Oreochromis niloticus: one gene and its partners. The protein of the gene in region 1 purifies or fractionates together with the protein of each later gene. This does not show direct contact. Links are inferred from orthologs where the notes say so. Each region holds a gene or a part of one and is shown in the gene's direction. Other genes may lie near its edges.

Region 1 (3,753 bases):
ATCCATGTAGAGGAGATGATCACTGCTCCATTCTCCATGGAGAAAGTGTATTTCCTTGGTGAATCCAGCATTTGATGGTGACTTTGTTATTGGAGTTAGCCTCTACTGTTGTTTGCCACATCCCCATTGAGTTCCTAATGAAGGCTCTTAGTGTCCTGCTGATCTTGTATAGTTCTAGGCATTCCAGGATTCATGTGTGGGGCATTGAGTCATAGGCCTTCTTGTGGTCAATCCAGGCAATCCAGTAAACACAATGGTTAGTCTGGTCTTACTGTCTCGGGCGACTGCTCTGTCTACCAAGAGCTGGTGTTTCGCTCCTCTGGTGTTTCTGGCCAGTCGTTGGCTGCTGCACCCATTCTGGGTATTTTACTGTCTATGCATTTACTCTTGGCTTGTAGTTTGGTATCAAAATGCCAAGACTGCAACACCAAAAACACTCAGCTCCCTTTTTCAGTTTGGAACCTCACTATTAACTAGTTGTGTTACTGAGGTTACTGAAAAGTGAAGCCAGTGATGTTTTTGTATATCATGGTTCCATTCATTAAGTATAAAACAGGCAATTGTGACTGACAGTCTCATTCATGCATGCAGTGTCCTCATATTTGCAATCCACCATGTGTCATATGTTAAATAAAAAAAACAAACAAACATACAAACAAAAAAGCCCCTCAAACTCTATTCTACAGAGTGGGTGGGTGACATGACCATGTCACGGCTGCTGTGTTAATCTTTAATACACATTCTGTCTCTTTCATATGTTTTAAGAATTTTTCTTTTACTTTGGTATTACATTTAAATGACATAGAGATTACAGTAGCATCAAAATTGTAACATTTACACACTGTTTTAGCACTAAAACACTAAAAATGTGCAATATAAATGAAGCCTTTAGTATACATCTGTAGTATTCCTTGATGCTTCGATATTAATGTAGTTTTGCTTAAATTTGTGGAAATGGTAAGGTTTACTATAATTACTCGATAGCATAGTGATTAACATACTACAGTGCTGTAGTGTAGTTGTGTCAGGAAGGGCATTCGGCGTAAGACTGCCAAATTAAAACATACAGACAAGGGAGCAGCTCAGATTAGCTTTGACTCTAATTGCCAACATGAAGATGTATATGAATTAAAGGCTTTAACTTTGCTGCATTTGGACAAATGGTAATGCAGCTTGGGAGCCTTAAGAGCTGATATTAGTGTTGGCTCTTATATCGCTGATCCGAGTCAGTACCGAGGTCATCAAAAAGACCAAGAATTCCTATTACTGGCCTGGGTGAGCGTCCGACAGCACTTGAACGCAGCAAGACGCGGTACTGCTTGGGCGTCATGACGTCAGCAGTCGTGCCTTTCCTTCCGTGTTTCCCTGAACTTTGCCGTGAATGTTTACAACCGCGTCTTCCCGCGTTTTGGCAGAACAGCAAGTTAGCGAGCGCCGGCGGCTGTATGTGGCTCATTAGTGAGTGTGGACGATGATTAAAACGGAGAGAGTCCTGCATTTGAAAAGCTGCGTGGGGCGGAAGGTCCGAGTGGTCCGGGAACACTATCTGAGAGAGCGGGTTCCCTGCTGCAGCTCACTGTGTCAGGCCGACTGTGTAAATGGTAAAATCAGCTAAATCTCAAATTCACAAAAACAGCTCTTTGTTTGCTGCTATAGAAGTATCTAACGTTGCTGTTAATGCAATACTGGCAGGTAGTGGTTTGGGGGCGTACACAATCAAATGAGGAAAAATAACTTGTTTTAACACGTAATTTTTATTATATTATATTTTGCTTCACTGTAACATGAATCGTGAAATAGCAAAGTACATACAGTATGACCCAAAGCTAGAATTACCTTGTATGACAGTTAAATGGCAAATCCCACCTGTGCACAGATAAGAGGCAAGGGGTGTTGTGCCAAAAAGTGATTGTCTGCCAAAAACTGATTTCCGGTATTTGCCGAAAACTGATTGCTTGTATTTAAACTGCTATAAATAACTTATTGGTCTATAATATGTGAAACATATGTCAAATGTATCCCTCATCAATGATATCAAGTCATCTTGAGCAACAAACAACATTCCTGTAAGAAGGTAGAAGCCGCAATCAGTTTTTGGCAGTGACTTTTATATAAGCTTTATTTATAATAATAATAATGGATTGGATTTATATAGCGCTTTTCAAGGCACCCAAAGCGCTTTACAATGCCATTATTCATTCACGCTCACATTCATACACTGGTGGAGGCAAGCTACGGTTGTAGCCACAGCTGCCCTGGGGCAGACTGACAGAGGCGAGGCTGCCATATCGCGCCAGAGGGGCACTTAAAATGCACTTAAAAAAATTCCTGTTCACTTTAAAAATGTCTCTTTTAAGAGCAATCTGGCCAAGAGGACAGCTGAAATTGCAATAAAAGCAAAAATAGTTCTGTAAACATATGTTAAGTGACAAAAGGGAGCTGACTGGTTATAATGTAACCAGTTACAAAGATACTTGAGAAACAGGTAATTTTTTAATTTTATATATAACCCCTTTGTAATACCTGTTCACCAAAGTCTATTTAGCAACATATGTTACGATATTACACATAAAAAAACACACGGAAACATTGGAAATCAGTTTTTGGCAGGCAATCACTTTTTGGCACAACAGTGCACCAGTCTGACTTTGTCTAGGTCAGGTGTAAAACCAGTACTTTGTTCTGCCCATACAAGCTACCGATCTGAGACCAATGTTAAATTAATATGCGCTATTCCTCACTGTGAGGAAGAAACTCTTTGATGTAAGAGGCAGTCAGGATGCACTCAAAGATTCCTTCCTGATTTTGTAAAATGTTAGTAAAATGCAGCAAATGAATACATCCAAGAATATACGTTTAGTGAGTTAGTGTTTATTGGTTAAAAAATACATTTGAAGGGATGAAAACAAAAAGCATGTTTTTGTTTTCACTAAATGTATTTGGACTAGTTAATTTTAGCTCAGTGTAAGAATCTTTATTGATCTGTGCTTTATGGTTATGACAGTTCTTCTTTCACTGCTCTCAGTCTTAATCTAAGTGCACATCTTCATATGCATGTAATGCATGGAGTGGAGCTGATGAGAGACAGGTGAATTGGTGTAATATTAATCAAGTTGACACAATCAACAGTACTATCGTAAGTACAATAAAGTGTTCATAGTAGTTGTTAAACCAAATATATTTAGTGAGAGCATGAAAGCAAGAGAGAAAAGCCAACAGGTTTGTAGAGCTTTTTAGTGATGTCCACTCACTTGACCACAGTTTGTTAGAAGCATTCAAAGAAAAGCTTTGGGCATAGCAGGTGTAAAATGCCTCCAGGCTGCCAGCTCTTTTGCTGTTGGTTTCCTTCATGCTATGATCAGCTGGTGATCTGCTGCTGACAGTGGGGATGTAAACGCAGAACAGTGTAGAACTGGACAGATTAGAGCGTTGTCACCAATACCTTGTTTTGCTTTTTGAGTCTGGACTGCATTGATATGTGATCCAAATACTGGATAGGTGCACCTGTAGTGAAGAACAATCACTTAAGCTTGCACATTTGTGCTGCTGTTTAGTGTTTGAGGTGAGAATGATCAGCGCTTTTATGAAATATCAGTCCGAGTTTAAGAGGTTTTATCCTGTGTATATTGACTTCATCTTAATCCAGATCTTCCTTGTGTTTGTAGGTTATACAGCACACTGAAAACATTGTGAGCCACACCTCATGTCTTTGCATTTTGCTTGGAAAATAGAAAATAGGTGCAACAATTTATT
Region 2 (3,753 bases), on another chromosome or scaffold:
GAAAGGGTGGAAGTATTCTCTGGAGTGAAGAGGAATGAAAGTCCGGAAAACCAAGACTAGAACAGGGAGGCAGACCTAATAGTGAAGACAGAAGAAACCAAAGCTAGTGAAGGCAGATTAGTTTAAATATAACATATAACATAATTTCCTCTTGAATGAATAAAGTATTTTAATTCCTGGAGTCAACCATGCAAAGCAACACACGAAGAAGAAAGTGCAGGTAGAGGGGATTTAGACATGTGTTAGTGATGATTTGTGGTAGAAAGACAGTAGCAAGAATGAAAGTGAAGGCTTTCATGATGGTATGAGACCTGCTGTGAAGGTGGTCCTGATAAAAAGACAGGAAGCTGAGCTGGAGGTGGAGTTAAACATGCTAAAATTTTCATTGTGAGCCTCCAGGATGGACAAGATTAGAAATGAGTACATCAGAGGAAGAAGTCAGTTTTGGAGCAGTTTGGAGATAAAGCTAAAGAGGCAAAGCTGGGATAGTTTGGACTTGTGCAGAGGAGGGTGTTGAAGATGGAGCTGCCAGGCATGAGGAAAAGAGGACTCTCACAGAGGAGGTTCATGGATGTAGTGAAGGCGGACATGTAGAGGGTTAGTGTGTCAGAGGTGGATGCTAAGGACAAGATGAGATGAAAGCAGGAGGTCTGCTGTGCTGAAAAGACAATTTGAAGGAGATATATGAAAGCTTACATGCAGCATATACTCATATAATATTACACATAATATTGACATTTATTTCTAGTTTGTGAGGCCGCAAATCTACTAATATTGAGCTTAATTCCATTCACAAAAGCCTAGAAAGGACTGAGAATTTTACCTTCTTTAAGTGAAACCTTTCTATCAAATATATTTCAGTGTAACTGAGTGACAAAACATGAATTTTATTATTATTTTTAATGCATAACATAAAACAACATTTAAAGAATGGAATATCCTCATACTAAATACATTTTGCTTTGTGATGTGTTTTCCAAAATTTCCAAATTCCTCCAAAGGAATAAAAAGCAGCTACTGAGTGCTATAAAGGACGAGCTTTCAATATGTCACTAAAGGCATCAAGCCATCACACCGCGCTGGGATTTCAAAATAAAAGACCCTTATCAATAAATTCTACGCCCAACATATCAAAAATAATGAAATACGACACAAATAAAGATTCTGAATGAATTTAAAGGAGTGTAATAAAATACTTATTAATTTGAGATACGCCAATTATTTAAAAAAATATATATTCTAGCCGCTTTTACGTTCACGTGTCTTATGCACTTCCGGGTTAGAGTTAAAAAAACATCGATGGCGGCCACATGCTTGTTGGAACGGTGAACCAGATCAGTATATTATAACAAAAACAGAATGAAGGACACACCGCTGTCCAACTGCGAGCGGGACTTCCTGCTTAAAGCCATCGAAGAGAAAAAGGTGGGTGAGATAATCAGCACGCGCTGTCGTGTGTTTGTGTGTGCGCGCGCGCAGCCTGAGGATGTACATTAGGACATGCATCGGTGTCCTATCCTGGCATCATTGCTCTGTTTTAGAGAGGATTGATGTGTATTATAGTGCCTTACCATAGCACACCTGCAGGCTTTCATCCGTACTCACGTGTCCTGTTTCTGTTCTCTTCCTTCAGCGCCTGGATGGACGGCAGACCTATGACTACAGGAAGATTAAGATCAGCTTTGGGACTGACTATGGGTGCTGCTTTGTGGATCTGGGACAAACCAGGTTAAGTTGCAGCCACATGTTTGCAATCGTGTGTCAAACTGAGCATCTGTGTACACTGAGCTCTGTATTCACTGTACGGCGCCCCGCAGGGTCATGGCGCAGGTGTCGTGCGAGCTGGTGGCTCCTAAAGAAAACCGACCGAATGAAGGAATCATGTTCTTCAACATCGAGCTGTCCCCGATGGCCTCACCGGGATTTGAGCAGGGAAGGTGAGGACGAACCTCACTCTTTGAATTCAGCTCATTCATTTATGTTCACTGGAATATAAAGAAATAAGCATGGTGTGTTTTTTATGGAGTGTAGGGGACATTGTTCCTGAATTTAATGAGATCTGGTGACTGGAAAGCATCCATAATAAGCTTCCATGTTCTGAGGCCGTGGTTCTCAGTTGGATGAGGGTGGAGTATCGACTGGGTTGGGGATGTATGCAGCGGGACACTGATAAAAGGATTGGTGGCACTTTTGTTTTGGTGAGGAGAAAGGTTACCATGAAACGATAGCTGTCCATCTATGTCACCACGAGCTGTGGTTAGTGACTGAAATTGTGGATGCGAGCGACAGACATGAGCTCCTCCAAAGGCAGTGTGTGCTCAGTCGTAGAGACAGGGTGTGGAGCTTGTTCTTTCAGGAGGCACACAGAGTACAGCTGCTAACATAAGGAACTAGCTGAGGTGGCTTGGGCATCTGATCTATGGTGCTCCTGCTCCTGGCTTCTAAGTGAGGTAATTAAGGGTTGATCTACTGTAGCTACCTTAGCTTACCAACAATTCTGATTTACATGGAAATAATATGTAAGAGGACCTCTGTGTTTGGAAAATGATAGCTGGTGAATTATAGATGACCTCTGCAGTTATTGTAAATTACAATAAGTTCCCGAGTAGTGGTCCTCCCCTGGGGCTGACTGGTTCATTTAGACAGACTGCTGGAGCAGAGAGTGTAAATCATCTGTGGGGTTTTCTGTGTTTCCAGACAGTCTGAGCTGTCAGTGAAGCTAAACAGACAGCTGGAGAGATGCCTGAGAAACTCCAAGTGCATCGATACGGAGTCTCTGTGTGTGGTGTCTGGAGAAAAGGTAATGCACACACACACACACGACAGACAGAAAGAAGCTTCATGTATTGATGATGATGATGGTGGTGGTGCTTGCTTGTGGGTTTCTAGGTGTGGCAGATCAGGGTGGATGTTCACACACTGAATAATGATGGAAACCTGATGGATGCCGCCAGCATTGCCGCCATCACTGCTCTGTGCCACTTCAGGCGCCCTGACGTCAGCACCCAGGGACAGGAAGTCACAGTGGTGAGTCAGCAGCACCACAGCAGGTGGTGTCTGAGCTTCCCTGGACCTGCTGGGAGAAAAGTGATGATGTTATTGTTTTCATGAGAATTCTGCTTTATGTTAGCTGTATTTTTTTTTTTTTTTAATTTCTGTCTTCAGTACAGTCCAGAGGAGAGAGACCCTATTCCTCTGAGTATCTACCACATGCCCATCAGCGTCAGCTTCGCCTTCTTCCAACAAGGGTAAAAGATTGCTTCTCACAAGATTTTTTTCTCCTGTTTATCAAAATTTTAATGTCATGTTTACAGGTGCAGCAGGTTTTAGTTAACTCAGTATATTCAGTAGTGTTTATAGAGAGTCACTTCAGACCTCCACCAGAACAAAACTCGTGGAGGGGCAGCCCTCATCAGCCTGCCACGACCAGCTGGGGAGTGAGGGGAAAGCAGGAGACAGAGAGAAGAGAAAAGTATTAGTGGTATACACTCACTGGACACATTGTTAGGTACACCTGTTCAGCAGCTTACTAAGCAGCTCAGTGCATTGAGGCATGAAGACAGTGCCGTGGTTGCTGGTGTTACACGGGCCGGGGTATTTCAGAAACTGTTGATCTTCTGGGACTTTTCCCACATGGAAAAACATCACCTGGTCTGACAGCACCTTGATTTCTGCTGTGACATTTGCATGATAGCGCCTGAATTTGGGGTGAACGATATGAAAGCATGAGTCCACCCTGCCTGTGATGATGTG
Region 3 (3,753 bases), on another chromosome or scaffold:
TCTTTCCTCTCACAAAGATGACATTCGACAACTTCCCCCTGTAGCCTTAATGATGAGTTTTGACACCTCAATGAATCATTAAAGATGTGACTGGACAACAATTAGAATTGTTCCGTTTTTGGGGTTTTTTTTTTTCAAACGTAGCCCTAGTAAGCCGTAAAAGCAGAGATCACATTCACTACTTTGTGATGCACACCCAGACATTATACTCTGAAAACAGGTTAGAAATATGACATAAACTACCCATTTCAGAAAAGAGAAACAAGGGTTACCCCCTCGTAAACATCCAGGTGGGAAACATTTAAAATGAAAAAGACTAAAAAACTGCAAATCAGAACATTATTTAACAACATTTGGTCAGTCCTCTTTCACAGTCAAAGGTCCACAGATCTTAAAGGCCGTGCAACTAGAAATAAAAAATTTGCTTTTGCTGTTACAGGAAAACTATGCCAGGTCAGTTATTACTGATATGAGTCACAAAGGCACCCCACCCCCCCGTTTCTTTTTTTTCTGATTTTCCTCACCTATTTGCTTCTCTGTTTTTGTGACAGTGTCCTACCAAAATGGAAAACTTCACTCTGCTTCAGTGCAGCAAATATTTACAAGTATTGTTCCTCTTAAACGAAAAATATATATAATTCAAGCGCAACCTGAGAAACCACAGGTCAGTGAGCATCACCACATGTGAGGCCCAGCTCTGCAACATTTTTTCTTCTTTCTTTTTTTCAGCCATTGCTATATGTGCCTGATGCCTGGTGGCAAAAAGACTATAGGGCTTAAAGGAAATGCTACACCCCCCACCCTCCTCGCACCATGGACGCTTAACACCTGAGAAAATCTAACACTTTACAGACTGTATTTCATACCACCTCACACCTCTCTTATTTTCCTGTGATACTCTTATCTCTGTCAGACAGAGTCCTCTCCCAGTCATTCACTTTGTTTTAAAGAGTAATTTTATTATAACGTTTCCATTTTACACAGATGGGTTGTTTTCTCTTTCTTTGCGACATAATTTATTTTCTTTCTCTGTTGTGGTTTGTTATTTCTTATTATTTACTGTTAAACTCGTCGTGTAGTGCAATGTTTCTTTTTTATATGGGGTGCAACTTTTATTACTATTTTAGGCTTGCAGAACTTTACTCTGACGGATGCACAGAGTTGAAGCTGTAAATAAATCCAGTGTAATCTAGGTCTGACAGCGCAAACGTTTTGAAACCCATTGAGATCTTATGCCAGGCTGAAGAACTACAAACGGAAGTTTCGTCAGCGAAGAAAAAAACTTTTTATTATTATTTTTTTTTTAAACTTTAATTATGCAAAAGCTCGGTGTCGATGAAATGACGTAAATACAACTAATACATTTATTTTCTTTTTTTGTTTGTTTTTTTGTGTTGTGGTTACATTTATGTATTTGCGTGACTGTCGAATCTATTGTGACCTGCCTGCTGAGGTAGGCTAGCTTCACACAGCAGCAACTGCAGGAGCTTCGCTGGGCAGTGAACACATGTCCGTGAACCGAATTACATAACAGTGGCGCCGAGAGAGGAGGCATAATCAACATGTCTCGTCATAGAAATGTTCGAGGTTACAACTACGATGAAGGTAGATGGCAAAAAGGGTTCCGATTTAAATGCCGCGGCAAGGCCTCAAAGAGCTAAACCAGTTAGCTGTTTACAGCTAAGCTAAAGTTTACAGTTATTCAGTAGCTGTAGCGGCTAATGCTAGGTCGTTTAACTGGCAAGATCACACTGATGTCGTGTCACTTGGCACCTAGCGCAAGATAAATTGTCCCATAACGACAGTAATTACTTATACCCACGCAAACCCAGGATTTTAGGTTAATGTTATAATGACAAATTTTGATGTGAGGTGTGTGTAGCTACTCAATTTACTAATGTTTACTCAGGTTATTGCCAGCTACTTGCCTAGCCTAGCTTGCTAACTATCCAATGTTTTGTTTGTGTCAGTTACACCAGATTCCTTACTTGCTCTTCTTTACATTCACATCTCCCCATGTTGTTAACTTGCGAAATATCTCTGTAAATAAAGCTTAGAGTTTAGCGATTAGAGGAAAATCTCCAGGTTTCCAGTGTGCAGTGGCATTCATAAAGTTGCTGACAAAGCAAAGTCACAGCTGGCATAAAGGGGCTTTACTGCAACTGTGTATACGACTGTTTGTGTGAGGCACAACTAAATGAGCAAAGGTATCCATCTAAGTGTTGTTTTTCTTCTTCTTCTTCTTTTTTCAGACTTTGAAGATGATGACATGTATGGACAGTCTGTGGAGGATGACTACTGTTGCATTTCACCAGCAACAGGTTGGTTAGCATTGATGCATAGTGAAGATGGAGCAAACTAATTTGAATCTGTCTGAAGTTAAGCATACACTGTATTTTCAAATAAATAACTTTTTTTCATTACACTCATTGATAACAATAGTTGCTTGCATTTCCAGTTTAAGTTTGAAAGTATGCAACATTAAGTAGACATCATGTATGATAACGTATAATCTACTATTAAAATTAAATGGTTTTGGCTTATCTAGCAAATCAGTTCATCTACTCGCGTCAAGAAAGACATGCACCAAGGGAAGAGCCTTTAGAGGAGGAAGAATTTGAAGATGAGGCTGTCCCTGTGTCCCCTACTGTCAACCACAACCTCAGCCCTCTTGATCAAGGTAGTATTTTTAAGCACACAACTGTGGCTCAGAATATAAAAATTTCTCAACTTGTTTTTTGTGTTTTCACAATTAAAGGTTCCATGCACCAATTCCTTTTGTCCTTTAAACTTTTGTTTGAAATTGTGCATTTTTTTTTTTTTTACTCTTTGCTTTTTGTATGGATCACAAATCTATTGTGTGTGTCCAATGTTTGCTGTACTCTTTAGCCAAGCTGTATTCCTGTCTGGACCACATGCGGACTGTGCTGGGAGATGCAGTGCCGGACTCAGTCCTGACCCAGGCAGCCATAAAATGTGGATTTGACCCACAGAGGGCACTGGACGCAGTACTGTCTGAAGACACTAAAACCGCTCCAGTTACCAGAAGTACAGCTGAAGAGATTGGTACAGTAGAGCGAGCTAACCAGGACAAAGCGCCACAACCACAAAGAACCAAACAAGAGGCTGTGGCTGACAAAGGTACACCTTGAGTGGGTCAAAATAAAAATGTTTCAGTGATTGAAAACTGTTACCCCTGAGTGATTCAGTGTAGTAACACACCGGGAGGACGTTAATTTGTGGCATTTAAAGGGTTGTATAACAGATTTGGGTTTTCTGTGGAGTTTCATAGCTATGAAAAATTTTTCTGTATAGGTGGGTGTTCCAAGATAAGTATTTCCCATTTCCTCCTCAAACGCAGTCAACATAAGTCACTGCTGCTAGTACTTCTATATAAATATGTGTCATTATTGGGTGTATGGAAGCCTAACAGCCAGTAGTGTTCTTGGTTGATTTCGCACAAATTTGTATAGTGATACAAATGTTTAACAAAGTGCCTTCTTTCTGTCTTTTTTTTTCTCTCTTTTGCTACATGATTGATTTGACTTCTGCTCCCCCTCACCCCTACTCTTCGACAACTGCACTTGGCTTTTGTAAGGTAAGGAGCCTGCTTGTCTGCTTCTCACACAGACACGACATCCAAGGCACATGAAGCCAACACACATGGGCACAAACATGAACATCCACATGTACCTGAACTAAAAGCACCCAGCTTATGTGAACTCTTATCTCAACCAAATGCTGGCAGCTGTG

The links.
Region 2: the proteins of dis3l (region 1) and exosc9 purify together in Homo sapiens (affinity purification with mass spectrometry; 3 studies listed by BioGRID and IntAct, with this or other methods). This does not show direct contact. The link is inferred for Oreochromis niloticus from reciprocal best matches to the Homo sapiens genes DIS3L and EXOSC9.
Region 3: the proteins of dis3l (region 1) and hbs1l purify together in Homo sapiens (affinity purification with mass spectrometry; 5 studies listed by BioGRID and IntAct, with this or other methods). This does not show direct contact. The link is inferred for Oreochromis niloticus from reciprocal best matches to the Homo sapiens genes DIS3L and HBS1L.

The regions. Positions count from the first base shown.
Region 1 is NC_031965.2:3,303,569-3,307,321, forward strand, and holds the start of dis3l (DIS3-like exonuclease 1), read left to right. Parts: upstream 1-1,326; 5' UTR 1,327-1,471; coding exon 1,472-1,601; intron 1,602-3,753. UniProt on the Homo sapiens protein: Catalytic component of the RNA exosome complex which has 3'->5' exoribonuclease activity and participates in a multitude of cellular RNA processing and degradation events.
Region 2 is NC_031971.2:37,045,254-37,049,006, reverse strand, and holds the start of exosc9 (exosome complex component RRP45), read left to right. Parts: upstream 1-1,265; 5' UTR 1,266-1,359; coding exon 1,360-1,425; intron 1,426-1,633; coding exon 1,634-1,728; intron 1,729-1,817; coding exon 1,818-1,937; intron 1,938-2,697; coding exon 2,698-2,800; intron 2,801-2,889; coding exon 2,890-3,027; intron 3,028-3,165; coding exon 3,166-3,248; intron 3,249-3,753. UniProt on the Homo sapiens protein: Non-catalytic component of the RNA exosome complex which has 3'->5' exoribonuclease activity and participates in a multitude of cellular RNA processing and degradation events.
Region 3 is NC_031980.2:8,003,782-8,007,534, forward strand, and holds the start of hbs1l (HBS1-like protein), read left to right. Parts: upstream 1-1,323; 5' UTR 1,324-1,562; coding exon 1,563-1,605; intron 1,606-2,252; coding exon 2,253-2,321; intron 2,322-2,548; coding exon 2,549-2,680; intron 2,681-2,889; coding exon 2,890-3,141; intron 3,142-3,603; coding exon of another isoform or gene 3,604-3,753. UniProt on the Homo sapiens protein: GTPase component of the Pelota-HBS1L complex, a complex that recognizes stalled ribosomes and triggers the No-Go Decay (NGD) pathway.